2 linked regions of the Arabidopsis thaliana genome follow. The protein of the gene in region 1 interacts with the protein of each later gene in a pairwise test. Each region holds a gene or a part of one and is shown on either strand. Other genes may lie near its edges.

Region 1 (3,737 bases):
GTTCTTTTTTTTTTGTTATCAAATAATTTTTTTCGAAAAGAATAAGAGATTATTGTTGCTTTTGCCATTTTTCATAGAATTTTTTTGAAATTGTAATTTTTACTAAAATCTTATGGATATGCCATTTTCTAACACTAAAAAAAGTATGTATTTCCGATTTTTTTGGTAAAAATACGTAGTTTATACAAAATATTAAATCCTAAGAACAAGCACAACCGACTAAACCAAAACATAACGAATAAAACACATGTTAAATCATATTTTCGTAGTGTGAAAAAGGCAAAATCTACAAACTATTCAGAAAAGGACAAAATCCACAGATACCATCCCAAAAAATGGCAAATCGATAATTGATTCAAAGAATAATAGTTCTTACTTTAAATTGCTGGGGAAAACAATTATTCTCTATGTATGGGTCCTAAAAGAATTCAATTGAAAATTTCCGTCTAAATATTGTACCAGTCACATCTTAAATTTTCGAAATAAAATTCTACAATTAAAGTTTCCCACACTACGGTGAGCAAATACATTACTTAATAATCTTTTTTTGGGGGCAAAACATTACTTAATAATCAAAATACATAATTAAGTTAAAAAGAGATCCTTTAACCATTATTAATAAACAACATTAGTTTTTGTCTTTCGAAATGAAGAAAACACAAATACAAACAATTGAACACTTAGACTAGTTCTTCTCCCTCTTTTGTGATTAGAGATTATTGTTGATGTAAGGATCATAGACACCGGTGGTGGAAGGCATGTAACTGGTGGAAGCATGATCAACGGCTGGTAGTTGATTGGATGGTAGTTGATGGTAGTTGTAGCAGTTTCCGTCCACGAAAGGAATGCTTTCACGCCCTCCAACATGATTCATATGTTGTTCCACCATCGGATTCATGAATGATTGTTGTTGATTCAGATACTGATTCGAATTCAGATTCAAATTCAGATTCAAATTTATGTTGTAGAATTCTCGTTGAATCTGATTAAACAGATTATTAGGAGCCTGGTATTGAACCTGATTCATATTCTGATTTTGAAAAAAATCACAAACGTTAGTAGGAACAAGGTGTTGAAACGGTTCATGCAGATTTTGACTCATATTCATATTTTCATATGGAATATGATCAAAAAATCTACTGGAAGCAGTTACCGCAGTTGCGTCCGCATCAAGAAAAGGAGTCATATCGCCCGTAAGAACATGAGGATTGGTAGCATTAAGAGTATCTACAACCCCAGTTGTAGCATGAATAGGAGAGTCGGAAAATGACTCATCACCAATTTCGTCAACACCAATTCTAGTAGGAAAAGGAGAGACGGAAGACAACAACGACTCACCATTTTCTTTAATGGACTCGATCCTTCCGTTAAGCTGATCGAGATATAGATTTATACAAGATTGCAAATCTTGAAGGTCTTTTGCATCATAATGATACTGGGACATTTTGCCTTCAACACAATCAAACATAAATCGTCTAACCTGTAACTCTCGGTTCTCAGCAGCCAGGTTCTTTAGTTGCTCTTTTGCTTTGGTAATCCTCTCCATAAGGTAAGTCTCTTGATCCATCATCTTCTTGGTTCGGGCTGTCGGCGGCATCTCCAGAAACCTTGAAGCCACCTTTTTAGCACCTTCCCTTGACGGCCATGACTCTGGAACCGGTATGAATGGACTGTAGATGAGAGCACAAGCTTGGACACCACACAGAGTTGACAACTCGTGGAGTTTCTTAAAAATCCCGTCTTTCCTCTTTATGAAGGATGTTTTCCTTGATCTTTCATTAGCTATCAAAGATAGCTTCACCTTCTTCATCCCCATCAATTTGTTTTTTTTTTTTGTTTTGTGTGGTTTGTTTAATTTGTTTGCTCAAAGGATGTTTATATAGCAAAGAAAGGTGATTCTATAGACACTAGGATTCTTATCACTTTGGTGGACTAATTAATTCTAAATAACATCCAGGAAATCTCTTATCAATTAATTGACCAGGTAATTCATTATTATCTATATAAAAATATTTTTTCTTATCCAAAGTTTGGTACGTCTGATCCTAAATAATATCTGATGACAAAAAAAAGAAAAAAATCTATCCATGTAATACGAGGGGGCATGTAATATAATATTTTGTATTTCTAAGTTTTGTTTTTATTTTGGCGAATTAATTTCTCTTACTCTCATTGTTTCTTTTTACTAAGAATAATTTCTAGCTTACTTTGTTCTTAAAATATGAAGTTTTGCAATAGTTTTAAGTGATTGTACTTTTAAAATACAGTAATATATTGTCAATGTATATAGAATTGTGGTAAGCTAGAAATTACTCTAAAGTTTGTTATCTAAAGTAAATTTCAGAAAGTTTGTTATCTACAGTAATTTAAAGATGTACTCTGAATCATACAAATAAATTTTTAGAATGGGCAAACAACTTGGAAAATATGCAAAGTACATCTCACAGAAACGCCAAAAACTTTGAATAATTGGTATGAATGCCCTTTCAACACAATCCCTTTTCAGTATTGCCCTTTCTTATTTGTTATTTTCATTTATACCCTTTTTTAATTTTTAATGACTATTTACCCCTATTTAAAATATGTTTTAGGTAAAAAAATGAAATATTGATTTTTCCCGCCTATAATATTCTGAAAAAAATTTTCCGCCAAAAAATTTCAAAAAAACATTTTCTGCCATAATATTTGTTTTAAAAAAGATTTTTCCCGCAAAAAACAAATTTCGCAGGAAATAGATTTACAATGGATTTTAATAGATTTTTAAAATGTGTAAAAGGGTTTTAAAATATTTATAAGGGATTTTAAGAGATTTTTATAAAGTGTAAAAGGTTTTAAAAAGATTTACAAAGGATTTTAAAAGATTTTTATAGGGTTTTAAAAGATTTACAAGTGATTTTAAAAGATTTGAAAAGGGTTTTAAAAGATTTACATGTGTTTTTAAAGATTAACAAAGATTTTTAAAATAATTTTCTAGAACTTTAAAATGGTTCAAAAATTATTAAAGGGTTTACATGAGATTTTAAAAGATTTTTAATGGTTTACAAGGGTTTTTAAAACATTTTGTAAGGGGTTCATAAGAGTTTAAAATGGTTCAAAAATTATTAAGGGTTTTTAAAAGATTTTTATATGGTTTTTAAATAGTTTTCAAGGGTTTTAAAGGATTTAACAAGGATTTTTACAACATTTACAAATGTTTTTAAAATCCTTGTAAATCTTTTAAACACTCTTGTAAATCTTTTAAAATTATTGTAAAAGGTTTTAAAATGTAAAACAAAAGGTTTTAAAACGGGTTTTTAAAGTATTTACATATATATTTAAAATTTTTATAAAGATTTTAATAGGTTTTAAAATGATTTACAAGGGTTTTTAACAAATTTACAAAGCTTTTAAAAACCTTTACAAAGATTTTTAAATGCATGTTTTTAGCTGGAAAAACATTTGTTACAGAGAAAAAAAAATGGCGGGAAAAAAATTTGGCGGAAAAAAAAATATTTTGGTAGAATTTTTTTTTGTCAGGGAAAAAATAAATTCGGCGGGAAAATTTCAGTTCATAAATTACATGTTTCTCATTAGATGTGGGTAATTTGTTTGTTTTGCTCAAGAGAAAGAGTATTTTTAAAAATGGACTACATATAAGGGTAAAATCAAGAGTTTAATACATTAATATGACTACATGTATTTATTTATTAATAATGACATATAAAAAATTATTTATGAAAATTATTTTTATTTAGAAA
Region 2 (3,723 bases), on another chromosome or scaffold:
AAATGAAACATAAAAAAATATGTTATATCAATAAAAATAATAATTTCTACTAATTGTAAAATAGATTATCATTACATATATATAAATATATAATCATATTAAATAGATATCAGTAATATACTTCAAAACAATTATACTTAAGTTTCAAATGAGGCTTTGTTTCCTTTATAATCCTCCCTTTTCAATTTATTAAGATTTTGTGTCTGTTTTTTTCACATTTAAAAAATGAAAGAAGCCTAAGTTTTATTTATTTTTCATAGGATGTTATGAATTTTTTTGTATAATGATAAATGTTATATTTAAAAAAGTACAATGATAGAATGATATATACTAGTTTCTTAGATGATAGTTGTAAACTTTAGAATATTATTATTTTCCTCTCTCCTAAACTTTGATTTTTTTTTCTTCTAAAAAAGGCATTATTAGAAATTAAGAATCTCAAAATGTTAGTAATTCTTTTTCTTCACGAAGTACTAGTATTGTTTATTGTAAAAAAAATCAAGTTAGATTTCCCCGAACGTGTGGCCGCGAGGAACAGCATATGGGATGAGATATGTCGCACATGAGAAATGCATATAGTTACATGTATCTAGACTGACCATTCAATTTAAATATAATTGTTCAACTAACTAAACAAATGATAATAATCCTGTATGTCATCAACGAATCATAATCATTATCCAGCACTAAAATCCTTTTTTTGTTCTTCTATCATGGTCTACTGATCTTTTGGCTCCATTTTGGAGAAATCAACCGTAACTAAAAGTATATATATATATATATATATATATATATATATATATATATATATCTTGGTTTGAAGATTTAGTTTTAGTTTTATATGTCAAGTAGAACATCATTCGTCCACTTTCTGTTCTTTTTTTTTGTTTTGATTTTATATTTATTCTTCTAAACCATAATTCTCATCCATTAGATACTTATTTTGAATATCTTAACAATAAATATTGTTATTTTAATGTAACTTACACTAAAATGAAAAATTTAATATTAAATATAAATTGACAAGTGGAAGAAAAGCCTATTAAGAATTTTTTTCATAAGTTTTTATATATTAAAAGTCCGGTAAAAGCTCTCCAGTTTTTCCCAAAAAAATAAAATGAAATAAAGCTCTCCAATGAGAATTGTGTAAGGATTGCATTATGAAACACAAATCCGGTCAAAACACTGTCGATTACTCCATTTTTTTTATTTATTGTATGTTTTCATAACTTTAAACATTAAGGGTGTGTACGGAAAAAAACATTAAGAATGTGATTGGTTACTCTAATTAGCGCAAAATAAAAGAGTTGAGAAAAAATTCTGCCCAAATCATCTTATTTTGGTTGTCTGAATTTTAAAAATCAGATCAAAGTAGATAAGAGACCATACCATATATTACAAATATTTCGACCAATTCGATTTTCGCTTATTTTACAAACAATATTTTGGTTATCTTATTTATTTTACAAAGTAAATGTTCATAAGGTATTCAATCTTTCATTTTATTTTACAAACAATATTTAATGCATGCACCATAATATGTTGCACTGATCGTACTAAACCTACTTACATCGCTAATTTTACGCTAAGCCACAGACACTAATCTCATCAACTATACTAATTGTTGACATTCGACTTAATTAACACAAGATAATTTTATCATTACTCAACATTAAAAACCAATAAAAGAAAGATGTATTGCGACCAATGTGCGGACACTGTATGATAGAGAAACAACGTGGCACTGTCTGCTACAAGTCCACATCTTACTTTCTCTCTCCATCTCTTGTTTCTTAGTGGACTGTGTTATTATTATTATTGGCACAGACCAAACCCACTTGGCTCCTTCATTAGATTTTTTTTCTCTCTCGGAAATTGATGGGCAATAGGAAACACGATTCTCTAATTCTCTCTCTAGAAGGACCAATAGTGTCTTCTTCTCTCCTCTTTTCTCTTTCTCCATTAGTAACGACCTAAACTTTATTTTCTTTTCTTGATCTCTTCTTAAATGGGGTTAGATAAGTTTTCCCCTTTAATTTAGTTGCTTGTAGACTTGAGATTAGTCTAGTAGGTTTTGGTGGGCTATCACTAATACAAAAGTCAAAGTCAAAATTTTTAAAAAGGTTTCAACTTTGGAAGAGATATTTATCATCTTCATTTTCTCTATAGGTTTATGAGAAGCTAAAGCTATGATGATTTCTTTAATCAAAATAGCTTAGGGTTTTGGAGAGAGATTACTAAGAAAGTTTTAATGTTTGTTTAAGAGAAAAGTTATATATTAGGGTTTTCTTTATTCAGAAGCTTCAAGATCAGAAAAGATGGAAGTTAGAGAGAAGAAAGATGAGAAAATGGAGATGACAAGAAGAAAATCATCAGCTCTAGATCATCATCGTCTTCCTCCGTACACTTACTCCCAAACCGCCAACAAAGAGAAACCCACCACCAAAAGAAACGGGTCGGACCCGGATCCGGATCCGGATCTTGATACTAACCCAATTTCTATATCTCATGCTCCAAGATCATACGCTAGGCCTCAAACTACTTCTCCGGGGAAGGCAAGGTATAGAGAATGCCAAAAGAATCACGCGGCGAGCTCCGGTGGACACGTTGTCGACGGTTGCGGCGAGTTTATGTCTTCCGGGGAAGAAGGCACGGTGGAGTCTCTTCTTTGTGCAGCTTGTGATTGCCACCGGAGCTTCCATAGAAAAGAGATCGATGGTTTGTTTGTTGTCAATTTCAATAGCTTTGGCCATTCACAGAGACCACTCGGAAGCCGCCACGTGTCTCCGATAATGATGAGTTTTGGTGGTGGTGGTGGTTGTGCGGCGGAGTCATCGACGGAGGATCTAAACAAGTTTCATCAATCTTTTAGTGGTTATGGAGTGGATCAGTTTCATCATTATCAACCCAAGAAACGGTTTAGGACAAAGTTTAATGAAGAACAGAAGGAGAAGATGATGGAGTTTGCTGAGAAGATTGGTTGGAGAATGACAAAACTAGAAGATGATGAAGTGAATCGGTTTTGTCGTGAGATTAAAGTTAAAAGACAAGTGTTTAAAGTTTGGATGCACAACAATAAACAAGCAGCAAAGAAGAAGGATTTGTAAGAGATTTCTATATATATATATATACTATTTTTACTTCTCTTTGTTCAACATTGCTTTAACTTAAAGACTTTGTGTTTATTGTATAACAAATTGATTTTAGAGCTCAGCATAACGGTCTCTTATTTCTCCCGCAACTTGAGAAGCCTTTTTCTTTGCGGTTTCATAAGCATATTTTGTGGATTCTTTGGCTACACCGTACTTTTCGCCGACTTTTTCCATGGCTTCTTCAAATCCTCTAGTTGCTCCATCTTTGGCATTGTGTGATTTGTCTTTCATGTAGTCAATAGAATCATCCATTGCTTCTCCTGCCGTGTCTTTGGCACTCTTTGACTTTTCTTTGGCTCCTTCATAGGCTTCACCGCTCTTATCCGTTGCCATCCTAATCACATCACCGGCCTTGTCGTATCCGTAACCCGCCTTGTCATATGCAAAGTCTTTTGCATCTTGGGCCTTTTCGTAAGCTATGTCTTTTGCATTGCCAGCCTTCTTGTAGGCGTAGTCTTTGGCCTCACCAGCTTTCTCATAACCAGAATCCTTTGCCTTCTGCGCACTGCCATAAGCAGATCCCACCTTATCATAGGCCATGTCCTTGGCATTGCCCGCCTTATCATAGGCC

The links. The genes of interacting proteins can lie anywhere in the genome.
Region 2: the proteins of AGL36 (region 1) and HB24 interact in a two-hybrid assay, tested with the Arabidopsis thaliana proteins (one large-scale study listed by BioGRID).

The regions. Positions count from the first base shown.
Region 1 is NC_003076.8:9,341,858-9,345,594, reverse strand, and holds AGL36 (AGAMOUS-like 36), read right to left. Parts: upstream 1,811-3,737; coding exon 710-1,810; 3' UTR 584-709; downstream 1-583. UniProt on the Arabidopsis thaliana protein: Probable transcription factor.
Region 2 is NC_003071.7:7,970,506-7,974,228, reverse strand, and holds HB24 (homeobox protein 24), read left to right. Parts: upstream 1-2,147; 5' UTR 2,148-2,318; coding exon 2,319-3,107; 3' UTR 3,108-3,203; downstream 3,204-3,723. Other genes in the region: AT2G18340 (late embryogenesis abundant domain-containing protein / LEA domain-containing protein), read right to left, coding at 3,204-3,723. UniProt on the Arabidopsis thaliana protein: Putative transcription factor.